7 linked regions of the Cricetulus griseus genome follow. The protein of the gene in region 5 interacts with the protein of the main gene of each other region in a biochemical or structural test. Links are inferred from orthologs where the notes say so. Each region holds a gene or a part of one and is shown on either strand. Other genes may lie near its edges.

Region 1 (4,015 bases), on a different chromosome or scaffold from region 5:
ACTCTAGCCACACACATTCCCTTTCCCAGAGATACCAGCTTAGTTGGGAGGCGGTGTGTGAGTGAGAGAGAGACAGGAGACAAGGGACAGTCTATTCCCTACCTCTTAAGTTCCCAGCCTGGTCCACACATGTGATTAACCACACTTCCTAAAAACATTAAAAAAAAAAAAAGTCACCCATATTTAACATTCACAAATGAGAACCTTTCTCGTTGTCAAAGAGTAACAATGCACGTTTAAGGCACTTTTTAAATACCTACAGAGGAAGTCAAACCAAGACTGTAGGCCTCACCTAATGGGACTAAATTCACAGTAATTCATACACTCTGGGTGTCTGAGTAACAAGCTTATCTTCCTCTGGGAATGTGACAGGAACAACCCAGCCCCTCTGGGTCACCCAACCCCCCCTAAGGGTTATTGCCAGAAAGAGTCTGAGAATTCTTCCCTTACCCCAAATTCAGGTACTTTTAATGACACTATTAAGCCACAAGAGCCACTTATAAATGTCATCATAGTCTTTTAATATTTTACATAAAAAACTGTATACACAGCTTATAGAACTTTTATGTAAACATCGTAAGCTCACCACTTTGTCATTTGTCAGTTTATTTAAAAAATAAAATAAAACAAACAAAAAAAAATCCCAAGACAATTAAAGTAGAAGTACCACTGGGCTGGGGAGGGGTGAGGGAAAGGGAGTAGGGGGAGGCTTTTCTCTGCACATCGTAGAGAAAATTTCACATAGCTGAAATGGGGGGGAGAGGTTTAAATAGACCCCAATATGTTGCCTTCCTTTATCAAAACAGTGTGCGTAAGCTATACAAATAAAAATCACAAAACAGTGTTGACACTTTTTTTCAAGAAAACAAAGCAAAAATTAGTGTTTTTTTTTTTAATCGCCTTAAAGTCATCATAGTATTAAAAAAAAAAAAAAGACCATCAGAAGTAGATGAGGTTACAGCATACAAGTGTGGTCAGAATGCTGTCTTATGCAAATGACAAGTGCACTGAATGTCGAACAATGAGACAATTGTGCAAAGAATTCTTCCATCAACAACAATAACAAAAAAAAGCTTCAGCCTTTAAATAAATTCAGTAACAATAGTCTCTTGGACTGAACAACGTTCACTTGTGGGACAGGCACAAAGTTCGATTATGGCAAAAGTGGCCCCCGTAGCACACCCTGGATCCTCCACCGGTGGCTGGAAAGGAGGTTCGCTGGGGGTTGGCCCAGGAGACTATCTGGAAGCCGCTTCCTCTCAACCCCAAGTCAGTTGCAAATGTCTTTCCCAGGATGTGAAAAGATGGCCAAGTCCAGTTCATGCTCGGATGGGAGGGCACCTGATCCAGCCTGGGAAAGGAGTTGCTCTTGCGCCCTGGGTCACACCACTCACCACCACTAAACAACACCATTCCGCCTCCGAAAATAAAATCTGTATTTATGTAACACCCCCATCATCTTCCCCAACCCTCCCCTCCCGTGGTTCCAGGGGTCTATGTTACAGACACGGTGGGACACTAGTGGCTTGCTGGTTACAAGCGGAACATCTGCTGGAGCTCGACCTCTCTGCGTGCCTCTGGGGAAACCAAAGGCGGGGGTGGGGCAAGAGTGGGGTGGGGGTGTAGGGAGTCGTACATACACACAACCACACTTTGAGGCCTGGCTCAGGAACCCCTTGGCATTCAGCAGGGCGCCCAGGCCTGTGCCACACAGCTGGACACACAGACACTGGGAAGGGGGAGCTCGGTGCCCACGCTAATTCTCGGCGTGACCAACCAGAGCCACCAGCAGATGCCAGGCAGTCTGGTGGTGTCCTTGGGGGCGTGGGTTTCCCTTTCTCCCGGCTCGTGGGCGACCCGGCCAAGAAGGGGGAGCCACGCTGGCAGGGACGGGAGGCAGGGCGCGGCCCTCATAGCACCTTGCAGCAGTTGATGCAACCATTCTGGGAGCCGTAGCGCTTCTGCAGCGCGGCGCGCGTGGCCGTCTCAAAGACCTCGCGCACGCCCTCCTTGGTCTTGGCCGAGCACTCGAGGTAGTCATAGGCTTGGATGCGCACCGCCATGGCGCGGCCGTCATCCGTGCGCACTGGCTCCTGCTTCATTCGGGCCAGCTCCGTGCGGACATGCTCATCGCTGCGCAGGTCTTTCTTGTTGGCCACCAGGATGATTGGCACATTGGGGCAGAAGTGCTTTACCTCGGGCACCCACTTCTCGGGGATGTTCTCCAGAGAGTCCGGGCTGTCCACCGAGAAGCACATAAGGATGACGTCGGTGTCCGGGTAAGAGAGCGGCCGTAAACGATCATAGTCCTCCTGGCCCGCCGTGTCCCACAGCGCCAGCTCCACCTGCTTGCCGTCCACCTCGATGTCCGCCACATAGTTCTCGAACACGGTGGGCACGTACACCTCGGGGAACTCGTCCTTACTGAATACGATCAGCAGGCACGTCTTGCCGCACGCGCCGTCGCCCACCACCACCAGCTTCTTGCGGATGGCCGCCATGAGCTCACCGGGCGCGGGCAGCAGGAGGGGCCCGCGAGCGCCTCGCCGCCGTCCCGCTCCCTGCTTGCCACTCTCCGCTCTCCCCCGGCGGCGCGCTGCGGGCTAGGATCGCTAGCTGCACCGGTACTCCGCGGTGGTGCGTTCTCTCGGGGCTCTCTGGCTGCCGCGGCAAGGGCGCGGGGGCATAAGGCGCACGGAGCGTGTCGCTGCGCTGCTGCCGGGTGGTGCTGCGGTCCTCGGCTGCTCCGGAGCTGGGCTGCTTTGTGCGAGGCGATGGCTAGTGCTGAGGACTCGGCCTAGCCTCCTTTCCGGAGAGGTTATCGTCCAGACCAAAGGTACAGGAGCGCGGACGACAACAGCAGGACTGCGGCGGCAGATGCGGGCTGCGGCCCTAGCGCCCGCTATTTAAAGAGTCCGGCCACTTTCTTAATATAGCCAGCCAATGGGAAGCCATCGGGCTGAGCTCATCGCTGCGGAGCTTGCTTCCGATTGGCCGTCCGCTGCAGTCCGAAGGCGTGTCCGGGAGAGCATGATTGACGGCCCTGTCCGCCGGGCTGGGAGAGGCGGTGATTGTGGAGTCTGCGCGGCGGCCCGCCCCGTGGGGCTCTGTGGCCGCCAGGTCCCCGCCTTCGCCGCAGCCTTTCCGAGCGCAAAGCCCTTTGGGTCTGGGTGGGCAGTTGCGAGACGAGCCTCACTTTTGTGGGGCGTTGGCTACTCTCACAGTTTCAGATTTACCTTGCTTCCGAGCAGATTCCGCGCTGGAGATCAAACACATGGGGGAGGGGTGGCGCCTTTAACGTGGTTTTGTTTTTACGTAAACAGACTCCCATGCACACTTTTGTCCCTAGCCAAGGGTATCTTTTTCTTTCTTTCTTACTTTCTTTAGGTGACATACCTCTCTTCTGCTCTGAGCCGCATCCTGGTACTAGCCCCCAGGCAGCCTTTTCACAATGGGAGGCTTGACAGTAAATTGGATGGGCCTGGGTGAGTCTCCTACAGGCTCTTCTCTTCCAAGGCCTGCACTTAGGTCTCCGGGTGAAGAAGATAAGGGGAGGAATCTTAGAGTAGCATAGCCTTAGGATAATGGAAAGAGGTCCCAGCCACTCGCTGAGAAGAAATTGTCCGGCTTTGAATAGGCAACCTCCACCCAGCTCTATAACATTACATCAGATTCTAGTCCTGAAGCCCGCAATATGCTGCAAGAAAACCCACCCACCCCAATATGATGAAACCCATCCATCCCAAGCAAATGAAAAGCTTGAAGCCGGGAAAGTACAGATGCAACCTCACTGGGAACTTGATGGTGGGCACACGGTTACTGTGAGGTGGAGAGAGCGTCTTGATATATAATACCAGGCCTTAATTCATTTATCAACCCATCCTGCAGGAAGTGGCAACTCCTCCTGTCTTAAAGGATCTAAGTCAGTCTATTATAAGAAATAGAAGGAGTGAAAAGCAGCAAGGGAGTCGAAGAGGGCCTCCCCCAGAAAAGCAAACTGCTTGAACAGAGCAAA
Region 2 (4,224 bases), about 140 Mb from region 5:
CAGGATTTTGTTATATAGCCCAGGCGGGCCTCAAATTAACAATCCTACCTCCTGGAGTACTGCAATTATAGGTTTCTCACCTCACCTACTTCCAGTTTTTAAATTCAGCATTTGTACACAGCATGCCATCATTGCTAGCAGTTATAACGCCATGGAACCAAATGTACTGTCTACAGAACCCACTAATCTCAAGTCAGTCTTGCAACAAGGTTAGCCAATCTCTCAAGGTTAACCTCCTCCTCCTCCTACTTCCACCCCACCCCATGGACTAAGAAACACCTGAACATTTTACTCTTCTAAAAATTTACACCGCTAATAGAGAGGATGGGCTGTTAAAAGGATTAATGATGAACAAAGAATAAGGACTATGAAAACACTCCAACAAAACCATTCTCACACACTGCACAGACCACTGCTTATGTATGTGATTTGTGCATTCTCACCAGTTCAAGTTAAAATCTAGTCAAAGGGGCTATAGTAGCCTGAAGACATTCTAGGGGGACCTCATTATGTTGTCTTTGTTAACAGTCAACTCCCAGAGGCTGGGTCCTCAAGAAAATCAACAAACTCAAAGACAAGGCTAAGCCAGAAAAGGGCTATGTACAAAAACTAGAAATTTAGACGGGCATTGGTGGCGCTCGCCTTTAACCCCAGCACTCAGGAGGCAGAGGCAGGCGGATCTCTGTGAGTTCGAGACCAGCCTGGTCTACAAGAGCTAGTTCCAGGACAGCCTCCAAAGCCACAGAGAAACCCTGTCTCCAAAAACCAAAAAAACCCCAAAAAACTAGAAATTTGTTTGGCAAGTGAACTGACCAGATTCTCCCTAAATACGCACAATCTGCAAGGTGAAGAACAGCAAGAGAGTAATCAGGAACCCTGATTTTAGCCGAGAGTACACGGAGGACTTTTTTTTTCAGATAGAAAAGTAGTTTTAGTCTAACTAGACATATGACCTTCAAAATTTTTAACGCTCACCAGGAACGGTGGTACACATCCCAGCACTATTCAGAAGGCAGAAGCAGGACAGCTAGATCTACAAATCAAGTTCCAGCGCTCAAGTCAGACTCTGTGTCCATTTCTCTTAAGTAGTAGGCAGGGGTCTCTCCCACTGTTCTCTCTGCAGAGTGCTAATAAACCTTTCTCTTGAAAAAAGTCCCTGAACTCAGTCTCCACGCCTACAAATGGAGTCAGCCTATAAATCCTTTAAATCTTTTCCAGTCTATATGGGGGAAAGTTGGCAGATTTTCCTTCTCCAGGAGATTTCTGGGTAGCGGCATTGTAAGTTGAACACTTGACTTTTGACTCAGTTAGTTATAGGGCTGGAATAAAGCTCAGAGATATAGCACCTGCTCACTATGCCCCAAGCCCTGAGTTTAATTTCAAGCACCAAAGAGAAAAAAAAAATAAAATAGAAAACACAAGCTCTCTATATATTTTATGCCCCTAAGAAACACCTAAGTAGACAAATTCTCACAATAGTTCTGAGAGCCTTCAATAGTAAGACCTAGCCTTGTATTTTAAGTTAACAAGGATACTTGTGTTAAATGTTCCAGACAGTATCACTACCAAGATAACCATGTGGATGGTGAGAAACCATCCACACGGTACATTCACACTTGGACATGTGACACTTAATGGCTGAAAATTCTCACCACATACTACATTGAGTTTCCCATCCCTCCAGGTTTGCCAGAGGAATATAATCTGGTTATATATAACCTGCAAAACAACACTTATTTCAAAAGAATGTCAGAAGACAGAAAGAACCATATGAATAACCAACAGAGGTTAAAATTCTTAGTGAGGACTATTAGAAAATACAAGTAGAACCAATTGTGGGACAAAAAAAAAAAGATGCCAATTTCCCACTTTATGCTACTAAACAAATCAAAAAAACAAAAACAAACAAAAAATATTTGGGTGCAAAAAGTACAATTTCAAGAAAACGACCTGAAAAGGGAACCCATCTGTAAGTGATTCCTAATTAAAGCAGTAACTTTAAGTAGAAATGCATCTATATCGATGCAACCTCTCCAAATTATTTTTACAATGTTTTTTCAACTGGAAAATACCTTCCCCCCATACAGTCTTCACCGCTAAGATTTCAAAACAATCATTTACTTACACAATCTCTAAGAATACGGCATTGAAAACAGAAAATCCACCCAAAGCCTCACTGTCTTCACCCGGTATAAAACGGTGATTAATGATCCACATTCAATGTAAAAGGCAAAATGGAGTTGTAAAAGAGTTTCTTGCCTATTCCAACTCCCGACACCACGCGCGCTTCACAGTGGCAGACTCCCCCAGCGCGGTCGCGGGCCGGCCGGGAGCCCCCGCCCAGCCCGGCGCAGCCCTGAGAGGAAGCGACGGGGAGGGCGGGCGGCTAGGGCTCCACCAGGCCCGGCCGGGCGGGGGAAGGGGGACTGGAGGCGGCGGGGCGCGCTTCGGGGACTGCGCGGGGCGGGCGGGGCCGCCGCCTCGGGCGCGGGGCCCCGGTCAGGGGGGGCCAGGGCTGCCGGCCGAGAGCAGCAGGTGGGGCGCGCCCGCGACTGGGGGACGGCGGGTGCCGGAAAGTGCCGGGCGGGCGGGCGGCGGCGGCGGCCGGCCGGCCGGGCCCCCGGAGCCGAGGCGGCTGGAGGGAATGCTTCTGCTCACCTCAAGGCGACCACTCCAAGTCCGGCCTCTTCGCGCCGAGGACGCCTGTCCGCGAGTCCGCAAGCTCGGAGACGAGGACCGGCAGCTCCGCGGAAGACGGCGGACTCAGCAGAGAACCGACGGAGGACCGCGGGCGGCGGGCGGCGGGCGGGGAGCGCGAGCGAACGAGGGCGGGCGGTGGCGGGAGGGCGGGGAGCGACGTGCGCGCCCCCGAGCGCCCTGCGGGCTCGAGCTGGCGCCAGTCGCGGCCCCGCGCACGCGCGCACTCTCGCAGTTCGTCCACGATTGCTCAAGAGCGCAACCACGCCCTAAAAGCAAGACGCTTAACCAATCATTGCGGCCGCGTGGAGCATCACGGGAACTCCGGGGCTATAAAAGACCAAGTTGCTATTTTATACTCACCGATTCACTCATCCTTTAAGTAGCAGGGCGGGGATGGGTGCGCCTGCGCGGTTTTAAAGCCCTGCCCCAAACTGCCAACACTTCGCGCAAGCGAAGTAGATCGTCTTTGCCCGACATTACGCGTGCGCACCTACTTCTCTAACCCCGGAAGACCGTGCGCTTGCGCAGTGAGAACTACGGTGACAGTACACCCGGTGGGGCGCTGGCCAGTCATGGCGGAACCTTGGTCTGGGCAGTTTTTGCAAGCTCTGCCCGCGTCGGTGCTCGGAGCGCTGGGCACCCTGGGCAGCGAATTCCTGCGGGAGTGGGAGACACAAGACATGCGAGTGACTCTCTTCAAGCTGCTCCTGCTGTGGTTGGTGTTAAGTCTCCTGGGCATCCAGCTGGCGTGGGGGTTCTACGGGAACACAGTGACCGGGTTGTATCACCGTCCAGGTGAGGCTCCCTACGAACCTCCTTGGCCTGGCTGCCCCTACCACCACCAAGCTATACCACTTGTTTCTCCTGTGTCCGCGTAGACTGCCACTGGTCTCCCAGAAGCCTCGTTGCACCCAGACTTACACCCCCATACCATCTTACATCAGAATCCCCACCTGTCCATAATCACGTTGTAACGGTTTCTCAAAAACCCTTACCAGACAATACTACCAGTCCCTAGCATCCCAGCCCCAATCTCTTAAACTGTACCAGTGGCCCCTTACCTGAGCCTGCTCAGATCCCCACCCTCAGCCTCCTGCAGCTCTGGGTGTGTTCCTGCCTCCAGGTCTGGGTGGCCAGAATGGATCCACACCTGATGGCTCCACACATTTTCCTTCATGGTGAGTAAATCTCCGTCTATCCCAACCCCATGCTTGGCAGGCAGAGAACACTGAGTGCTGGTGACAGGGAAGAGAATTCGCAGGGCCACCACCTTAGTGGCCTCTGCAAGAACCCTCCAATTCTGCAGGTAGAGCTCAGGATTCGAGTTGGGCATTTAGCAGTGCCTCTTATCAGCATATGCAGTGGGGATGGATGGTGGTGGTACCGTAATTTTAGAAAGGTGAAGTGGTAGGTAGGTCTGTTGGAAACAAATCCCTTGATTGGGAAGTCCTTCATTAGGAAAGTGAGAGTATCTATTCTAGGCAAGTACTGTACCATTGGAACTATAACGCCAGCCTAACAGCC
Region 3 (4,181 bases), on a different chromosome or scaffold from region 5:
CCCTCCTCTCTGGCTCCTTCCCCAAAGAGACTATCAGCAGAGACCAGAAGGCTTGGAGAGGAAGAGCTGGGTGTGTGCGGCAGGGGAAAGACTCACTTGTTCTGTTTTCCTGAGGGAAGGGAGGGAGGGAGCTCCCCCTGCTTGGGCATGGCTGATAAGGCACTCTGGGAGCAGGAGGCATTGGCAGAGGTCAGAAAGGGCATGGGTAGGAGACTGGGTGAGTCAGGCAGTAGAATAAGTAAATGCCAGTGCCCAGAAAAGATGGGCGCCCCTGGCACCTTGTTCTGTGCTGTATTCTGTCTGTTTCTCACACCAAATTCCCAAAGTCTCATTTATGACTACATCTTCCAAATTAACCCTTTCTTCTCGGGGTCCACATACACACAAAGCATCACTTTATCAACCTAACTTCCTCTCCCAGGAAGCCACCCTGAGGTGTGGATCTGCTGACTAGAAGACATCCCAGCCCTTTTAAAGGGTGCCTTTGGAGAGTGGGGAATGACCAACAGCACACATGGAAGGGCTTCCTTGCTTTCCCAAGAAAGACTGACAGAAACAATGCAATGGGTAGGGACGTTTTCGTCTTTGCATCAGCATGTGACCTGCAAATACTATGCTCTTGGTTTTAATGTCGTCAGTCTATTGGTTTACTGCAGCTTTTGTTTACAGGCAGAATAAACCGTGTCTTTTGGCAGCTTCACCCTTAGCCCGGGTCCACTGGACCACGGAATTGGTTCTGAAGAAGGGTCATAATAAGGAGCAGTTCCCTCTTTTCCAATGCCCTCCCCAGTAGGGGGCATCTGGCTCCAGGACTAGTCAGATGCTCCTGACTCAGAGGACAGCAGCCACTCTAGGCTGAGGTCATCCTATCATCTCTCTGCTCCGTAGTTCTTCTTTGACATAAAGCTTATTAGCCAATTAATCCTGCACCTTTGTCCCCAGGTTCTGCCTTTTGGACAATCCCCAGGTTCTGCCTTTTGGACAAATACAAGCCAAAAAAAAAAAAAAAAAAAAAAAAAAAAAGCCTTGTTTAGTTTCTTTAGCCTTTCACTGCCCTCTGGTTTCCCTCTGACATGTAGGAAGCCCTTCCTGATTGCGCACTGCTTTTCCTGGCATTATGAAGTTCAGGGAAGACAGGAGATACACAGTGACACTTGCTGCGGCTTTTTAAAACAAACAAAAAAGTGGAAAGCAAGAAAATTGTGATGAAAGCTGTCTGTGGCATCTGTCTGTAGCAGTGACCCTCAAAGTACAGTCTCCTTCAAGCCTTCCCTCAGCTGCTCCAGGACTCTCCAACCGTTATGTTTAGGTCCCTTCAAGAGGGACCTCGCCTGCCGGCTCAGCGCTATTTAGTTCTCTCTACTTGTCTCAGTAGACAGTTTTCAGATGAGTACTTCTCTTGGGCTGCAAGTGTGTCTACTTCAACACCATAAAAGGATTTATTTACCCGAACAGAACGGCACAATGCAAGAGTCTAGTGCTGAAAGCAGAAGGGGTTAGAACTGGGGAGGACTTCCCAGTCCGTTCCGGGTGAGGGAACACAGTCAAGGGCGGGAGGGCCAGTCTGAGGGGCCAGTGTACCATGCTCTGTAAAAAGTCACAGGGAAGCAAGTTCGGCTTCTCAGCATTCCTGTTATTGATTCAAGAGTTACAAAAGGGGAAGGGGGTCTGGATTCCATGACCTGGCTTTAGATTCTGACCAGTGTGGGCTGTGGCTTCATGCTCAACTACAGTCAAAGCACACGTGCACACAGGCGCTCACAGTCCTAACTCGGTTCCACCACTCTACAAATAAAGGTGGGCAGAATATGAATTTCTTGTTTGTTTGTTTTTTTTCCTCATTAAGTGGAGTGGAAGGTGAGGAAGAGGCCTACTTCAGGACGCTGGCTTCTACAAAAGTCTGGCATCCACAGCTACCCTACCTCAGGTCCCAGAGACGGATCGCAGTTTGTGTTTTCTATGATTTAGGGTGACTTGCTACTCAAGAGACCTACATATGCCCCCTGCTACAGACAGGAACGGAAAGGATGGTGGGGCTGGGGTGGGAAAGGCAGAAAGGGACGAGGGACAAGATGAGCAGTGTGTTTCAACAGAAAATTAAAAAAAAAAAATCAATCCCGTATTTCAGGGGGCCAGAACAGGGGAAGAGGCAGCGGACGTTCAGAACTTCTGAGAAAGGTGTCCTCACAGGCACATTTAATTAAGTAAACTCCTAATTCCCACCCAGGTAAAGTCACTCGGGTGACTTTTCTCTGCAGATACAGGACTTTTGCGACCCCTGAACTTGCAGGGAGGGAGGCGGGGCAAGCCGGAGAACCAGCCGCCGTGGGGACCGGGTCGGGACGGCTTGGGCAAGGGCGCCTACCTCCTTCTCGGAGACGTAGAGCTGGTCGCCTTTCAGCACCACATAGCGGTTTTTCCAAATCTCCCTGAAAATCCCTTTCCCGCAGAATTTCCGGACCCAGCCGACCTTCTCGGGCGCCGCAGAGTGATGGTTTCCATCGGGAGGCCCCTGCGCGGGGCGAGACGAGGAGCGGCGGCGGCTCAGGCGGGTCTCCGCGCCCTCCCCGCCCGCCCGCTCGCCGGCCCGCCCGCCCGCTCCCCGCTCGCCGGCCCCGGCCCCATTGTCCGCGCGCCGCGCACTCACCCGCTTGCCGGAGCCGCTCTTCTTCATGGCCGGCGGGATCGGGGGCCGCGCCCGCTGCTCGCTCGCCGGCTCGCGCTACCCGCAGGCCGGGCCCTCGCTGCCCCCGCCGCCCATGCCCGCCCCGCCCCCGCCCCGCCGCACGGGCCCCCGGCCGCCGCCGCTGACGTCGCGGGCTCCGAATGAAGGGCGACCGTGGCGCCGCCGCCGCCGCCGCGCGCTCCCCGCCCCCCGCCTTTGTTTCCGACCCGGCGCCCGGCGGAGGCGCGAGCGGATAACCGAGAGGCGCGGCGATGGGGGCGGGCCCGAGGCGTGGCGAGCCGGATGGAGCGGAGGCGCGGGGCGAGACCGGCCGCCTCGGACCCTCAGACGCGGGCTACGGAGCTCCCTCCGGAGGCTCCGGTCTCGACCTCCTCCGGGGCGGCCGCGAGCGCCCCGCGAGGCCTGCGGGAAACACGCGTGCGGCGGCGGGGAGGCCCGCGAGCCGGCCGAGCCCTGAGTTTGTGACGGGGCCGGGCGGGAGCCCAAGTTTGAGGACGGCTTTCCTCACCACTCGGCGGTCTCCGTGCCCCTGCCGGGTAAATGGAGGAGGGTGAGCTGACCCATGAAAGCCCCGGAGGACCCAAGGGTTGTCTCCTAGGGCCAATTACTACCAGACAATAAGCCAATAAACCTATTACCTGGTATAGTATGGTAAACACAGCAACCACGAAGTGAGTAAAGACCCCTGCTACGGAGCAGGGGAAATAGTCTTTTTCCAGAAACGTTCAAGATGAAGGGTTGCGAAGTTTGTGGTTGGAGGCGTGGAGGATGTTTGGGCTTTTTTGGAATCTGTCAAGAAAGAACCTCAGACCCATCTCCCTTCCCAATCCTGTAAGATTCTCTTTCCTAGCCATACGAACTGATTTTTTTTTTTCTTTCTGGTGGATGCAGAACTTTATCCTTTCAAAATATTATTTTGGCACTTAAAAATATTGAGTACCGTTTTGTTAGGCATATAGAATGGGAATGTTATCCCTTGGGAAATGATCAGTCGGGCACGGAGAACCAAATGACATGGTCAAATTGACACACTACTGTTACATGAATTAGAATATAGGTTTTCTGACCCCGTTGTACCTTTTAGACTTTGTACACACAGAGCGCACTTCTGAAACTATCCCCTTCCCGTCTCCCCAGCTCAGTTTGGTACTGTCCTGTTTAAAAGGTGATGAAAAAAAAAAGTGAGAAAATGCAGGCTATGTGAGGAAGCATAATGTACCAGTGTGAGGACACAGCTGAGGAAATTAGCCTACAGGAGCTTTCGAGAACTTGTTGGCCGGGCATAGAAGAATGGTTTGGATTGAATATATATATATATATATATATATATATATATATATATATATATATATATGGTCTTACACAGCCTAGGCTGCTTTCAGCCTTACTACATAGCTAAGGCTAATCTTGATGTGCTAATCCTCCTGTCTCCACCTGATTTACATAGTTTCAAAGGGGCTGGGAGTGTGGCTCAGTGGTAGATCTCTTTGCCTAG
Region 4 (3,500 bases), on a different chromosome or scaffold from region 5:
AGAGAACCTAGGTTTGGTTCTCCACTTTTAGAGGATCTGATGCCCTCTTCTGGCTTCCTCAGGCACCAGGCACACACACGATACAAGCAAAGCACCCACACACATAAACACGTGGTTTTAAAATTTGGGTTCAGTTGGTATCTAATGTTTATTACATATACATGTATTATACACACTCATACCCACATGCTATATATTCCTAAAAAATACATATAAAACCCATTGTGGAGCCAAGTATATTGTGCATTTTCCTCCTGAGCAGGGTTTTTAGTAAAGTTAACTATTTCCTTAATTTTAAGTACATACCACTAATATTTCCAGTATCCTATTTCATCTTTTTTCAGATGTTATAAGTAAAATTACCATGGTTCTCCTTGGGCTTCCAAAGAAACAGACCCCTGTCAAATATGAACCAGCAACTAACCAACAATGTAACCAGTTTCCACACTCAAGCACATCAGGCTCACAACCCCTCCAGCAGGGAAGACACTCTCGGTACTCATGTGCTCAGACAACCCTGACCCTTCAGCATACAGCTGAGGACTTGTTCCTAACCAGCAGTGTGGTCATGCTCCCTAAGAATTCAATGTCCTCTTGCAGGAAAACGCCCTTACTGGCTCTGAAGAAGAAACATAACATGCACGCATGCTCTCAGGAATAGTCTGGTAGAGAGAGAAAATGTAACATTGTGAAAGGGAATGACAGCATAAGAACAAATATACAGGGGCTGGAGAGATGGCTCAGAGGTTAAGAGCACTGACTGTTCTTCCAGAAGTCCTGAGTTCAATTCCCAGCAACCACATGGTGTCTCATAACCATCCGTTATAAGATCTGGTGCCCTCTTCTGGTGTGCAGATATACGTGGAAGCAAAATGTTGTATACATAATAAATAAACAAATAAATAAAGATCTTTAAAAAAAAAAAAAGACGAGAACAAATATACAGGTGAACTACTGATGCAGAAGGCCACACAGTAAGCAAGTGGAGGAGTCTCCAGCTGACAGTCAGCCAGAGGCCAACCGCCTGTCCAGGAACTAAGTCTTGTCAGTATCACAGTGAGCTTCAGAGTAACTGCCCCTTACCTATCTGAAGTGCACCCAGCTGTGATAGACGCCTTGATGAGAAACTCACAAGAGACCCCCAGAAACTATAAGGTAGTAAATGTGTGCTATGCTTAAACTACCACACATGTGGCTATTTATTGTGTAGCAACAGATAACTAAAAAACCTAACTGCTTTGAGAAATTTTATGAAGTTCATGGGCCAGAAACTTAATTCCCAACATGACAGTACTTGGAGATGGGGCCTACAAAAGGTGACGAGACTGTAGCCCTGTAGAGGTGGAATTGTTCTTACATCAACAGGTTGCTTGGGCTGGAGTGTAGCGCCATGGTAGGGCACTCCCCTAAAATGCACACGACTCTGGTTTTGATCCCAGGCACCACAGGAAAAATAGAACTAGGCTTCTTTATATATGTTATTGCCTCCTTCTATCCTCTCCGTCACTCACACTCATATACTCTTCTGTGGTAGAGTTAGTTATAAGACCCACTCCAGACAGTCACTTAATCCTGGACTTTCTATGCTCCAGGACTTCTACTGTTAATCTTGAACAAAGGCTAATGTAACTTTTTAGCCAATAAACCTAGTAATGTGCAAATTAGAGAAATACATGTGGGTTTTTTTTTTTTTTTAATTCTTCTCAGTAGAATGAACTTACCCAGGCTGTGGTATTCTGCTATAGCAGCAATAAAGGGACTAAGACATCATCTTACATAACTCAATTCACAAAAAAAAAAAAAAAAAAAAAACTAAAAAATACTGACCACTATATCTACTAACAACTAGTAAAGAGTATTATCCTGGGCATTGAAAAATGAATAATGAGTAAGATCAAGGAAAGACTTTCTGACTCCCCAAAACTGTCATCTGATTGCCACATATGCTGTCATACACACACCATGCAAAAAGTAAACGTATTTTAATGAAAAAGACAGACTCTTGTAGACAGGGAAGATGTAAAGCCAGAAAAATAGTTGATATGTTGACAACAAAGCTCCCAAACAAACAGGAGGGAGTAGGGTCTAGTGTGAACATGGAACATGTATTTAGCATGACAGAGATGTCGGCCACAGAAAAGTAATGGGTGTTATTAGAGACAGTGAGTTCCAACAGCCAATCAAGAGTTTTAATGTTCAAAAAATGTTAACTTTAAAACCCAGTATTCCTAAGATGAAATCTTTAACAAAGGCTGACATAATAAGCCTAATTATGTGCAAATCGGAGAGACATGTTGGTTTTTTTGTTTGTTCTTAATTCTTCTCAGTTGGGCAAAACTTACCTGGACTCTCCACTCTCTTATAGTGGTACGGATTGATACAAACTTCCTTTTGCTTAGATCCAAAAGGAAATTCGCAAATATCCAATGGCTTTAGCTCATGATGACTCTGTAAATCTGGCCAACGCCAAACACGACAATATATAACATGGGGTAAGCCTTTCCTGTGAGAAACTTGTAGGCGTCCATCCAAGGACCTGGGGATAGTGACACACTTGCTGGGCTGTCCTGGGCTACTCAAGGCTTTCTCCAACTCCTCCATGGCACCCTTCTTCTTCTTCAGCTTTTTCACTAAGGCATCGACTGCCTTTTCTGCCCATTTTTCTTCCTCATCACCTTGTTTCCAGCCCAGCAATCGCTTCACGGCTGGACTAGTGAAAGAAAACAAGCTGGCCATTGACGTCATTTGACAGCAATCTTCAGAGGCTTTCCTGTAACCAAAGTCAGGAGATTTTGACAGCAATCTTCAGAGGCTTTCCTGTAACCAAAGTCAGTAGACGGGAAAAGCGTGGGTCACAGGTGCAGTCACAGGCAGGTCTCCAGCGGAAGGCCCAAGTGGAGAGGAGGAGAGACATTTAACTTCACAGGTGCCATATGCTTCTTTCATTCGGACAAGTCCTGAAAGAGACGGGGAAAGGAGCCTAATTCAATCTAAGAACACTAATCAACGTAACTGAAAAGTGTTATCATAAAAGTAGAAAAGTATTCAAAGTAAAACAAAATGCATAAAGCCAGAAAATAAAAATAGCTCTAAAATTCCTGTAGCCACTCACTCCCTTGTTCAGAACACAAATAGTTCAGCAGCAAAGCAAAGGTTTAAAGAGTCATCTAAGACGGAAAGAAGCCAGATAAGAGTTGTCATAAGCAGCACTCAGGAGGCAGAGGCAAACAGATCTCTCTGAGTTCGAGGCCAGCCTGATGTACAGAGTGAGTTTCAGGACAGCCAAAGCTACACAGAGACACCCTGTGTTGAAAAACAAAAACAAAACAAAGAGGTCACAAGATGTAGGAGAGTATCAAACACAGCCTAACACATATCACTACCAGGAAAGTGTCAACTATTTTTAGAATGAGGAGTGCTGAAGAGATACAAAATGTTACTCAACTCCTCAAAATGTCGGTTTGTACTTTATAAAGACTATTTGACTACTGGCTTCTATA
Region 5 (3,500 bases):
AATCGTAGGCACAGAGCAATCAGGAATGGTGTTAGAAACGATAAGCCACCCACTCACTGTGTAGGAGCACATGCCATACCATGCTGAGGCAGGCTTGGTGTCCTACATGGTCCTGGGAATGGATGAATTAGCCCATCTTGCAGATGTTAACAAAAGCTGGGATAGATATAAATCATTCCCTCCAGACCTCCTCATTGGGTCACAGGCAGTAGCTGAACCTTCTGTCCTATTATGTAGCATCCCAACAACCTTAGGAACTAGTGTGCTGAAGGAGAGGTAATGACTCTGAGACTGTGCAAAAACATTTTCAATAAGTTTTGGAGAAGGAAAATGTGGAACCACATATCAGATAGACAGTGCCTGTCCATTTCTGATAGGTACATGCACACACACAGCCAAGGGTTATCCATGAACCTTCAGGCTGCACTCATGGGCAAAAGTCACTACAACTCTAACTGCTCTGCTACATTACAAAATCCAGTTCACAAAGCAGTGAAATAGGCACCCGCTGACTCAAGCACCTGTCTCATCTGACCCTAGGGTATGATCTGAGGTTCTACTGGAGATGACATGAAGGACGCATGACCCCACGGTGGCCAAACTTACCAGGTATGAGCCTTGGGCAAGTTGTCTGTGTTGGCATCTATCAGGTGGATGGTGAAGAGTCGAGGCCCTGCTGCGCCTGTAGAACCTTACAAGACAACATTCTAGTTAATGTACTTCACAGACAAAGCCTGGGAATACCTGGCCCTGCGGCCCTGGGGCAGTGGGACTCATTCCTGAACCCCACGGACTTAAGAGCCCCTATGTATACCGTGCCTGGGAACCTCTTTGGGGGGTAGCTGAGGCAGAGAGACTGATTTGTCTCCACACTTCAGTTGACAGAAAACACCAGCCACTGGACCATCCCCTGCTGCTGAGGTTACTACCAAGGCTGTTAGTCCATGTCATGCCTATAGGGGTGTCACACACTCCTCTCAGCAGGGCAAAGGCTGGCAGTGCTGAGGCAAGCTACTGAAAGGGCAGTGTGGCCTCCTGGCCACGCAGCACCTGGCCTGTGTACCTCCAGTGGAATGCCCTGCTCTAAGGGACATTCATTCCTCCCTCCTCTGGGACCAGTCACTCCAGGACTGGATGGGGACCCTGTCCCATCCCTGGCTCACATCCAAGCCCCTGCCTGGTCTTGGATAATATTAGTAAGACCCTTGTGACATTAGGGTTTTTCTCAATGGGAACATTTGGTAAGCAGGCCTGCTGTGGAGAAGTTGGAGGTAAGGAGAGAAGGGTGTGGGGGTCACAAAAATCTGAATGCGCACGAAAACTCACTACCAAACAACGGTCTTTTCCTTAGTGGGCGGAGAATAAATCCCATGTCCTTAGTGTGTCTTACTTGGTTCATCACTGGTGTGTAAGGGACAGCAAGCCCTGTTCCACCCATCCCCTTGGAGGAGCAGCAAGCCCAGGCTTAACAGAATATATCAGTGCTAGGAGAAGGTGGAGATTCCTTCTGAATGTGGGGAGGAACCCTGCCACTCCTGCAGACCTGCGTCACTACGGAAATAAGGTGGACTCAGTCTCTCAAACACTTTTGCAGCAATACTAGAACACTGAAGCTCCAGTGTCCTCCACCCAACTCTTCCACCAATCCCCATAGGGTTGGTATTAGGCGGAACCCACCTTAGGTTGTAAAGGCCAAAGGCTATCAGTAGCCCTTGCTGCTTCTGGACCTTGGGATCCATGGTCCAAAGGGGACTCCAATGTGACCCTACACCTGCCAGGCATCCCAGAGCTAAGTATTTGTTCTAAGAATGCTGGCCACCGTTATTCTCTAGTGGGACAGTCACACTTCAATTCTTGCTTCTACCATCTAGGACAGAACATGGTAGCTAAACACCTCAGGGAATGGCCCTGACTCCACCATCAGTCACCTTGCAGAGCCTTGAAGCCTTGGAGAGGAACTCGTGTGGACCCGGTCACGAACTGCAGGAGTCTGGCCCTCCTCTCCTCATCGAAGGTCTCCACTGCCTGCCAGAACCACCTCACAATGTTGCTGTCGGCCACACAATGCTTCAGGCGTGTGTTTGACTTCCAGTCATTCAGGTCTATCTTATCCAGCCCACCTATTATCAGCTGGAGAAGGGCATCAGGCTGGGTGTTAATTCTAAAAGGTCTAAGACAGCCCCCCCACCCCAGACTCCATACTGATAGTGCAACTCCCAAGCCAAACAGCCACCTCGGTTTTGACTGGTGTAGCTACCAGTGGGCTGATACCCCAAAACCTCAGGGGTGAGTTTACTCAAAACCAGGGAAGAGTGACTGGGAAGGGCTGACAAGGCGAGAATTCAACAGGCCATGTGGGGAATGAAGGGATATGGGGGATGCTCACTTTCCACTTGTTTAAAAGCTTGCTCTAAACTCACAGCCTACAGAGATGTTCCACTCCAAAGCTCAGTCTCACGGTGGGCAAATGGCTATAAGAACAAGCTGGAAGGCTTAGGCCACTTGGCACCAGGCAGAGCTAGCAAAGGATGAATGAGTCATTACTGTTCAAGTCCCCAACATTGACATGTTCTTAGTCTATTAATAGCCAGAATGGAGAGCAGAGAACTGGGCTGAGAGAGGCCTGGTACAAAGCAAAGGCTAGAGATCCTAAAAATCCAAGGCACAGGCACTAACTGTTGCCAAGGGGACAGATAGTGCCCGGTGTGACAAGACAGTTCAAATGGCTCTGTCTCCCAACACTAAGCCCACTACACACACACAGGGTTGCCAGTGGCCTCACTTACCTCCAGTTCCTTCTGGTCAAAGGGCTTCAGTAAGTGTTGGGGAATGAGTTCATTAAACCCTTTCTGAAGAGCTAAGAACTGGGCTTCAATTCCTCTCATAAACCTCCAGTTTACATACAACCTGAAAGGAAAAACCATACTATAAGCAACTGTGGAGAGGCCATGAAAGTACTGTCCCCACAGTGGCTGGCGCAGCTGTGACAACACATCACATGTAATGTTGATGCAGAGCCTGCTGAGTGGACGCCAGCCCACTCCCACCTCCCTGCTAGCTCTTAGTTTCTCTGTCTGGCCTTCTCTTTAATCACTAGTATTACTTTAAGCAGATGCATGTTCTCCCTGAATATCTGCATCGTGCATGGGCCTGGTGCTCATGGAGGCCAGGGAGAGTGTTGGATTCTCTCAAATTGGTTATAGTCAGCTGTGAGCCACCACATGGGTGCTGGTCCTCCGTCCGAAAGAGCGGCCAGTGCTCTTTACCACTGAGTCATCACTCCAGCCCCTTATGTCATCTTTTTGAGACAAGGTTTCATGGAGCCTAGGCTGGTGGTAAACTTGCTGGCCTGGAAGTCTTACTGACTTGTGGCTTCAGAGTCCCCACCTGGCTCTTCCGTCCTCCCCTTGCCACCCTACCCCAGGCTGGGACTGAACTCACTATGTAGCCCAGAATGGCCTGGAACTACTCCTGTGTCTGCCTCCCAAGTGCTGGAATTA
Region 6 (4,297 bases), on a different chromosome or scaffold from region 5:
GACGACAGCGACTCTGACAGAGGGCAGGCATCAGTCATCTAGATTGGTGGTGAAGAAACAAACCTGGAAGACGTGGAACCCGACCCCTATCATAAATAGATAAAAAAAAAAACAGTAAGCAAAAGCCGCCATCTGGGTTTCTCCCTCCACCCCATGCCTAATGTTTGCTTCTACTTTAAAGGGTGAGCCTGAAGAGAGAACAATGGGTTGTTTTCAGGGAGGAGGAAGTGTCAGAGGTGGCCAGGAGAGCATCATGTGCTCAGGGTTTTACTAAGTCAGAAATGCTCAAATTATTCCTATCACTTGGGAGCTTGTTGTAAATGTATAATCTCGGGCTCCTAGTCAGGCCTAATAAATCAAAATCAGCATTTTAAACTAAACTACAGGTGATTCCTATGGACACCAGTTGAAGCAGCTGTATCCCACCGATTGCTCTAGTGACATTTTTAATGTATAAGCAGCTATATGTGTATATATATATACACACACATATTACACACCCTCATTCTTAGAATATATATTAGATCCTTCATCAATTTTTATCATTTAATTAGGGACTACTGTCTGGAACAAGTTTTCAAAATTCAAGCTATTTCCATGTAGTCCTGCAGAATTTCACTTCAAGTGGGGTTATTCATGGGTGCCAGAAAACCCTAAAGCAGGTCCATCCTTTCTGCCTTTAAACGCCTTTTGAAAACTAAAGGCTTAGTTCTTTTTTTTTAACCAAAGAATACACTAGATGACAAACGGCCCTCTACACCTTAACCACGGCGGCCCAAAATCAGGGCAGTGGTACACTTGAGAGATCTCACCCCTGAATGTAATCCAGACTGATTCCCTAATGTTTTACCACTTTGGGGCTCAAAAACTGCAGCAGCACCGGGAGAAAGAAGATCCTCAGGCATTCCTTCCTCTGGCTGTTCCCCACCTGACTGCCTGACGTCGGGACTCTAAGCAGCCCGATCACAATTAAGCCGCATTGTTAAGGCTACGCTAACGCTCGCCCCTCGGGCCGCGCGCGGCTCACGCGGGGCCCACGTGGCGGTGCGAGCAGCCCTCAGCCTGGATCTGTTGTAAATTACCGTTCCCAACCTGAGGGGAGCCTCCTCCCGCCGCTTAGCCCTCTGCGAGGAGCCCGGGAAGAGAGATCTCCATCACCTGGGCCCCCGGAAGCCCGGAGCCCGCTCCACCTTCGCTAAGGCACCGAGTCACCCCGCGGCCCCGCCCACAGCCCGTCCCCCATTGGACGCCCGCGAGGGGGCGGGGCCAGCGCGCGCCGGCCGCACGCACGCACGCCCGCCCGCCCGCCCCTCGCTCGCGCCCGCCCGCCCTCGCCCGCCCGCCCTCGCGCCCGGCCGGCCTGGGGAATTCCATTTCCTCTCCCGCCCACCAGCAGAAGCACTCAGGGGCGGTGCTTTCGGCCCAAGGCCCGCCCAGTGAGAACCTGGGGGGGAGGGGGGCGTGGAGAGTGCTACCGGCGCCTCTCGCGATAAGTTGCGGATTTGGGGGCGGGCCCCAGCCAGGAAGAGAGCACAAAACTGCCCTTAAGTCATTGCAGAGCCGGAGCTCCGCTGAGCCGGCCACGAGGTTCTCGCGAGATCCGCCGCCTCCGCCATACCAAGTGAGGAAACCAGGGGGCCGCGGTAGGGAGGGGCGCGGGGGCCTCGACCGCGCAGCTGCCGCTCCCATCCCCTTCCTCCCGAGGTCTCCTTCCGGTTCTCGATGCTTCTCTGAGTCTCAGGGTTTCCGCCGCTCGCCTACCCTCCCCTCGGCCCATGACCCGCCTCCGTCCCCCGCCCTCCCGGCCCGACCTCCGAGCAGTGGAGTGAGAAGGTGCTGTGCGGTCCGGCCGGGAGGCGGCAAGCGGGTGGCTGGCGCGTCGGCTCGGGCCCGGAGGCAGGGAGGCAAACCGCTGCCCTCAACCCTCGCTCGCCTCGGCTCGGCTCGGCTCGCCCCGCGCGCGGCCCGCGGCTCGCGCTCGCGACGGCGGCAGCGGCGGCGGCGTTGGCGGACGGATACGCGGCGGTGAATAGGCGGGGGGAGGGGCGGAGCGTGGCAGCTGGCAGTAGTTCCGTCAGAGCGAGCGGACATCTTGTGGCTGTGCCGTGCGCGTGAGCCCCGTAGGGCCGGGGAGGCACCAGCTGCCGCGCGGGGAGGAGGCCGAGGCCGAGGCCGCAGCTCGAGGGAGGCCCCGGCCCCTCTGTACGCGTGGGTGGGGACGGCTCGCTCGGCCCGAGGGAGGGCGAGCGGCCGGGGGCCGGCGCGGCGCGGAGCGGCGCCCGGGGCTGTGGGCGGCCGAGTGGGCAGCCCGCGGGCTGGGGTGGGGTAAAGGGGGGAGGCCGGCGCGGCCGGGGCGGGCGGGCGGGGGGGCGAGAGGGAGGACGGGAGGACGGGCGCGGGGGGGAGACAGGGGCGCGTCCTCCCTCGCGCCGGAGCCGGAGCCTGGCGGCCGCCGCCGGCGGCGCGTGGTGGTGAAGGAGGAGGCTGGGCGCGCGCACGTAGGAGCGCGCTGTGAGGCGGAGAGGAGGGAGGCAGTGTCAGGGGCGACACGGAGCAGCCCGAGCCGTGGGCACGGCCGCACACGCGAGCCCGCCGCCCGCACGCCCGTCCGTCCGTCCGCCCGCCCGCCGACCTTTGGAGCGGAAACGGAGAGCAGCCCGGCGCCGCTCCGGAGCCTCCCGCTCCCCTCCCCCTTGCCTTTCTTTGCCCCGGTGACGCCGGCCCAGCGCCGGCCGGTCCGGCCAGCCTGCCTGCCTGCCTGCCTGCCGACTAGGCCCCGGCTCCTCCTCTGCCCGGCCCCGGCCCCGCACCCACCCCCTTCTCCTCCGCCTCTTCCTCTCCCACCCGGGGCCCTTCCTTCCGAGAGGCCGGGAAGTTAAACTCGTAACCTCTTCCCGTCACCCTCGCCCTCTGCGGGGCGAGCCGCCGCCGCGGGGAGAAGCAGTGGTTGGTGGCTTCGCTACCCCACCCCGCCCTGCCCGGATCGCGGCGGTTTGCAGGGATCTCGGAGTCGGCAGGGTTTTCTCCGCGGCCTCTGGCGAGTGGCTGATCTGCTCCGTTTTTGCAAAAAAAAGGCGCCTGTGTCTGGCAGAGCCGCTGGGAGGAGGAGGAGGAGGAGAAGGAGAAGAGACGATCCATCCTCGCCGCTGGGATAATCAAGAGTTTTCGGCCGGGCCTTTGAGTACACATCGGGATAGTGAGGAGCCCGGCGAAAAGCACAGACTATGGCGCTGAAACGGATTAATAAGGTAAGTTGTTGGGACTGACTAATCCGGACGGGGGGCCCTGGGAAGCCAGGCAGGCAGGCAGGCAGGCAGGCAGGCTCGGGCCCAGGGGGAAGTGTGGAAGTGGGGTGCGAGTGTAGTTTATGAGATGAGTTTCTTTAAGTTGGGGGAACTGAATGCTTTTGGCAAGCGAAATGTTAGACCGAATTTCTCACAAGAATTTGTAAATTAATGGGTGAGAGCGTGGCTTTCAGGCACCTCGGTTTTGTGCCTCACGAAGAGTTAGTCCGGTTTGGAAAGTGGAATTGTGTAGAAGCCCTCGGGCAGATGGCATAGTACTGCTTTCCTATTCCTGGTTCTTCAAAACTTATTTTAGGTGTACTATGCTTATAGGCCTTCTAGGAAGAAAAGGAAACATGAAAAAGAAAACATTTTATTCCGAACTTTACTGAGGGTCAAGGTATTATAAACAAACCTCGATTTGCTAAAAGGTAGTGACGAAGTCTGTCCAGAAGCTTAACCCAATCTGGGCAGTTACACAAGACCAAGTGGGGTTGGGAGGAGGTGGACTGACACTGTTGCCACTTCCTGTGTTGTGTGGTCGCAGCTTGCACCCGAAGCTATTTATCTGAGGCACGGGAACTGATGTAAATGCCTTTAGGAAGATCCGTCCGGGGTGGGGGGGTGCTTGACAGTGCAGGAACACAGGATGGACCCACTGCTTTTGCTTAGGACACCCCCTCCCCCCTCCAGCCTTGTTTCAGCAATCCACTATAATTTGATAATTTACGCTGTCGGTTTCAGTTGGGCAGAAGCTAGGATTTTTCGGAGGTCTAGTGTAAGAAGAACTACCTCCTCCGGTGGTTTAGTCTCATTTTATTGCTCTAACTTCTATCCCGCATTTTAAGATGGCGGCTGCTTTAACTGGTTCGGGTTCTTTCCGACACCATCCCTTTTTCTAATAATAGGAAATAATGTTCTCTGTTAACGTTAACTGTTTTTTTTATATGGTTGTAGGGAGTTCTAAGGGTCTCTGCCTCCAAGACTTAACCTAAATTCAAACTCTTGAGACT
Region 7 (3,500 bases), on a different chromosome or scaffold from region 5:
GCTCTTGTAGACCAGGCTGGTCTCAAACTCACAGAGATCCACCTGCCTCTGTCTCCCAAGTGCTGGGATTAAAGGCCACCACCAACCAGCTTTCCTCCCTCCCCCCAATGGAATTTGATCTTTTAGGTTGGAGAGGTAGCTCAGTGGTTAAGAGCACTTGTTGCTTTTCTAGAGGACCTGGTTTGGTTTACAGCACTCACATGGTAGGTCTGTAATTCCAAGTCCAGAAGACACCATCTTTCTGACCTCTGACAGCACTAGGTGTGACTGGTGCAAAACACTCAATACACATAAAATAAATACACTAAAAAAAATTTTAGTCTTTTAAGAGTATACTGGCTAGCTGGGTGGTGGTGGCACACACCTTTAATGCCAGCACTTGGGAGGCAGAGGCAGGCAGATCTGAGTTTAAGGCCAGCCTGGTCTACAGAGCAAGTTCTAGGACAGCCAGGACTACACAGAGAAACCCTGTCTCAGACAAAGAGTATCCTGGCTGGTATAAGTAATGCCATTTTGTTTTCTTCACACAGAGTCTCACTGTGTAACCCGGAATGGCCTATTAGAATGCTCTTGCTTCTGCTTTCCAAGCTCTGGGATTAGAAACAAACGCCACCATGCTAACGAGACTGTGCAGGGAATGGAACCAGGGCCTGTACATGTTACACAGGCCCTCCATCACTGGGCCCATACTCTGAGCTGTATGCAGGCCTCCATCACTGGGCCCATACTCTGAGCTGTATGCAGGCCTCCATTACTGGGACCATACTCTGAGCTGAATTCAAGCCTCCCGCCCACCTGCCCTCCTGCCAGCCCCACTCACTCCAGTGATCTTCTTCTTGCATTTGGCACAGCTGGGTGCATAGCGCACGTCATAGCAGGAGGGGCAAAAAATTGCCCCCTTCTCCTCAAAGAAGCCACCCTCTTCCAGGACCTTCCCACACTGGCTGCACACAAATTCTTCAGGGTGATATGCATGGCCCAGTGCGACCAGGTAACGGCCCCTGCAGGGAGAAGGAATGTATGCAAATGAGGTATGCACCCCAGGAGGAAGACAGGAGTGGTTTCTCCAAGATCCTACAGCAAGAGGGAGCAAATGGAAAGGGAACCCTTATATACTCTCCTGATAACTGCGGCAGTTTTGGTGCCCTGGTTTGGGAGGGAATTGACAGTTTAAGACTACCAAGACACTCCTGGGGGACTACTGCCCAGTGTGAGGGTGAAACCCCAACTGACCCTGGTGAAAACCCTGTCCTGCTTCCCTGTTCCATTTGGCCTGAGCAGGGGCCTGTGAGCCCTGGATAAACAGGGATGTCAGGAGGGGATGCTTTTTACAAATCCTCTGCCTAAGGGTTGATGGGAGACTAGAGCAGCCCACCAGGGCCAACTAGGAAGGTTCTAGAATCTGGCTGTGAGGGGCTGTGTGACTTGGCTGGGTTCCAGGGAGCAGTGTATAGAGGGAGGTAACTGTGGCCTACTGGCCCTGAGAGGTGTGGTTTAGCAGAGACCATGCATGCTGGGGAAGCAGCAGCCCGAGAGCTGCAAAGTGAGACGCAGCTTCAGGGTGCCGCTGGCACCTCACTGCAATAGGCTGGGGAGCGTATGGTAGGAAGTGTAGGATTAAGCATCTGAGAATGGGGGCTGCTGAGATGGCAGTGAAGAGCACTTACTGCTCTTCCACAGGACCCAGGGTTGAGTCCCAGCACCCACATGAAGGCTCACAGCCAACTACAACTCCATCCAGCACCAGGGAAATGCAGCACCCTTTCCCAAAGGTTCCGTGCGCACCAGGCATGCGATTGGTGCACAGATACACACACAGGCTAAACACCTATATTCGGGAAGTAAAATAAATTTTAAAAGATCTAAGGTTCCAGGCTAGATCCTTCCCCTGCTTCTACCAGATCCTTAATTTCCTCAGAGTAGCAACTGAGGTAGGGCAGATAGATACATCGGGGCCAAGGCCAGGCTGCAGGGCAGGAAAGACCAGGGTTAGAAGGGAGCGCTCACCGAATGATCTTGTGGCACTGGTAGCACACGGGAGTCTTGCCATTGTTGCTGCCCCCTCCTGTGCCCCCTCCAGCTGCAGCCTGCACTATGGAGGTTCGGTTCTGCAGAGGCGTGGGTGTGGCAGGCTGGCTATGCCGGGTCAGCACTGTGCTGGTTTTGTCTGGGGCATAGCGCTCAGCAAACGCAGGGTCCACGGCCCAGGGTGGGCGACTGGTGGGGCTGGGGGTGGTGGTGGGGCCTGACAGCCAAGGAAAGTAGATCCAGAGGGGCACTCAGGGAGCCCAAAGTGCAGAGGGTAGAGCCCAGGGTAGCCTACAAAGGCCCACCACCCCTATGACCATGGCGGCTACCCACCCTTCTTCACACCCAAGTCCACTTTCTTACCAGGCCAGGGTTCCTGGGGTATAGTTGAGGCTGGGGCTGGGGCTGGGGCTTCTGTCCTGGGCACCTGGCTGTAAGATCAGCCATTCAAGGCCCTGCCTGGCTGAGGCTCTGGGCATGGTCCCACCCCCTAACTCCAGTTGTGCTGGGCCCATGAGTGAATCTCAAGTGCATGAGAGCGGCTGGGATGGATTCCAGGTCCCTCTGGGGTACAGGTAGGAGGGGGTGCCTCCCCTAAGTAGGTTAGAGCTATCTGGTGTGCTGTATGGAAGCAGGGTGGGGCTCCCGTTCCTACGGCAGTCTTTGGGTCTCCTCTCATACAAAAGAACCAAGCTAAGGCACAGCCATCTTTGTTAGGGATGTCCTCCCACCGAGAAGACTGCAGGACCCGCACCAAGTCTAAACCATTTAACGCCCCGTACCCAAAACATAACCAGACCCAATAAGACAGAAGACAGCGGCAAAGAAAGCGAGGCTGAGAACGTTTATTTTCATGCTCAAGGCAGTGCAGACCTGGCAGACAGTAGAACCACAGGGCCAAGAGGGAAGGCAGTGTCAGACGAAGCCAGGCCCTGTGCCAGGCGGGCTGCCAGGACCAGGCCAGTAGGAGGTTCAGACCAGGGGCATGAAAGCGGTAGGCAGAAGCTGGAGGCACCAATGGGTGCCCTGGGAGGGTAACAGAGAAAGGAAAGCAGAGGGCAGCAGGCTGGAAAGGGCCAGGCTATGACTGCACGTTGAGCACGTGGGCAGAGCGCTGGTGGTGCCAGTCCCGGAGGCGTGTATAGCGTGGGCTCTGTAGCTCCAGGACATACTTTTCCCTGAGGGGCAGAGAGAGAGAGAGGAGGAGGAAGTGAAAGAAGGAGAGGTGGAGGAGGCAGGGGGTGGAGGGAAGGAAGGAGGCAGGGAGAGAAGAGAGCCCTGGCGGGAGAGGGCCAGGAGCAGCGGGGTGGCGGCTGGAAAGAAGAGTGGGAGGCTAGAGGGAGGGCGGGAGCCCACGCTTTTACCTTGACTTCTTCATGTAGTCCTCATCCGGGTCTTGCACTGAGAGGACAGAGGCAGGCATTGACCAAGAGAAACAGGGGTCACCCCAGCCTCGAGTCCTGGCAAAGTCA

Evidence for each region.
Region 1: the proteins of Smurf1 (region 5) and Rhob form a complex in vitro, tested with the Homo sapiens proteins (2 studies listed by BioGRID and IntAct, with this or other methods). The link is inferred for Cricetulus griseus from reciprocal best matches to the Homo sapiens genes SMURF1 and RHOB.
Region 2: the proteins of Smurf1 (region 5) and Rhoa form a complex in vitro, tested with the Homo sapiens proteins (2 studies listed by BioGRID and IntAct, with this or other methods). The link is inferred for Cricetulus griseus from reciprocal best matches to the Homo sapiens genes SMURF1 and RHOA.
Region 3: the proteins of Smurf1 (region 5) and Plekho1 form a complex in vitro, tested with the Homo sapiens proteins (4 studies listed by BioGRID and IntAct). The link is inferred for Cricetulus griseus from reciprocal best matches to the Homo sapiens genes SMURF1 and PLEKHO1.
Region 4: of the proteins of Smurf1 (region 5) and Smad5, one has a biochemical effect on the other in vitro, tested with the Homo sapiens proteins (3 studies listed by BioGRID, with this or other methods). The link is inferred for Cricetulus griseus from reciprocal best matches to the Homo sapiens genes SMURF1 and SMAD5.
Region 6: the proteins of Smurf1 (region 5) and ubiquitin-conjugating enzyme E2 D3 form a complex in vitro, tested with the Homo sapiens proteins (15 studies listed by BioGRID, with this or other methods). The link is inferred for Cricetulus griseus from reciprocal best matches to the Homo sapiens genes SMURF1 and UBE2D3.
Region 7: the proteins of Smurf1 (region 5) and Pdlim7 are reported together in a solved structure, tested with the Homo sapiens proteins (2 studies listed by BioGRID, with this or other methods). The link is inferred for Cricetulus griseus from reciprocal best matches to the Homo sapiens genes SMURF1 and PDLIM7.

The regions. Positions count from the first base shown.
Region 1 is NC_048600.1:18,982,914-18,986,928, forward strand, and holds Rhob (rho-related GTP-binding protein RhoB), read right to left. Parts: upstream 2,530-4,015; 5' UTR 2,502-2,529; coding exon 1,911-2,501; 3' UTR 501-1,910; downstream 1-500. UniProt on the Homo sapiens protein: Mediates apoptosis in neoplastically transformed cells after DNA damage. Not essential for development but affects cell adhesion and growth factor signaling in transformed cells. Plays a negative role in tumorigenesis as deletion causes tumor formation.
Region 2 is NC_048597.1:216,484,918-216,489,141, reverse strand, and holds the start of Rhoa (transforming protein RhoA), read right to left. Parts: upstream 2,801-4,224; 5' UTR 2,659-2,800; intron 2,264-2,658; exon of another isoform or gene 2,126-2,263; intron 1-2,125. Other genes in the region: Tcta (T-cell leukemia translocation-altered gene protein), read left to right, coding at 3,273-3,495. UniProt on the Homo sapiens protein: Small GTPase which cycles between an active GTP-bound and an inactive GDP-bound state.
Region 3 is NW_023276806.1:60,524,041-60,528,221, reverse strand, and holds the start of Plekho1 (pleckstrin homology domain-containing family O member 1), read right to left. Parts: upstream 2,801-4,181; 5' UTR 2,675-2,800; coding exon 2,648-2,674; intron 2,513-2,647; coding exon 2,366-2,512; intron 1,798-2,365; exon of another isoform or gene 422-1,797; intron 71-421; exon of another isoform or gene 1-70. Other genes in the region: uncharacterized protein LOC113833187, read left to right, coding at 2,938-3,222. UniProt on the Homo sapiens protein: Plays a role in the regulation of the actin cytoskeleton through its interactions with actin capping protein (CP).
Region 4 is NC_048596.1:275,741,512-275,745,011, reverse strand, and holds part of Smad5 (mothers against decapentaplegic homolog 5), read right to left. Parts: intron 2,958-3,500; 5' UTR 2,746-2,957; coding exon 2,343-2,745; intron 1-2,342. UniProt on the Homo sapiens protein: Transcriptional regulator that plays a role in various cellular processes including embryonic development, cell differentiation, angiogenesis and tissue homeostasis.
Region 5 is NC_048597.1:81,289,125-81,292,624, forward strand, and holds part of Smurf1 (E3 ubiquitin-protein ligase SMURF1), read right to left. Parts: intron 2,908-3,500; coding exon 2,787-2,907; intron 2,131-2,786; coding exon 1,929-2,130; intron 692-1,928; coding exon 607-691; intron 1-606. UniProt on the Homo sapiens protein: E3 ubiquitin-protein ligase that acts as a negative regulator of BMP signaling pathway. Mediates ubiquitination and degradation of SMAD1 and SMAD5, 2 receptor-regulated SMADs specific for the BMP pathway.
Region 6 is NW_023276806.1:24,045,351-24,049,647, reverse strand, and holds the start of ubiquitin-conjugating enzyme E2 D3, read left to right. Parts: upstream 1-1,497; 5' UTR 1,498-1,621; intron 1,622-1,704; exon of another isoform or gene 1,705-1,833; intron 1,834-2,063; exon of another isoform or gene 2,064-2,202; intron 2,203-3,074; 5' UTR 3,075-3,224; coding exon 3,225-3,248; intron 3,249-4,297. UniProt on the Homo sapiens protein: Accepts ubiquitin from the E1 complex and catalyzes its covalent attachment to other proteins. In vitro catalyzes 'Lys-11'-, as well as 'Lys-48'-linked polyubiquitination.
Region 7 is NC_048596.1:274,490,765-274,494,264, forward strand, and holds part of Pdlim7 (PDZ and LIM domain protein 7), read right to left. Parts: intron 3,430-3,500; coding exon 3,393-3,429; intron 3,207-3,392; coding exon of another isoform or gene 3,110-3,206; exon of another isoform or gene 2,854-3,109; intron 2,460-2,853; coding exon 2,392-2,459; intron 2,246-2,391; coding exon 2,008-2,245; intron 1,002-2,007; coding exon 821-1,001; intron 1-820. UniProt on the Homo sapiens protein: May function as a scaffold on which the coordinated assembly of proteins can occur. May play a role as an adapter that, via its PDZ domain, localizes LIM-binding proteins to actin filaments of both skeletal muscle and nonmuscle tissues.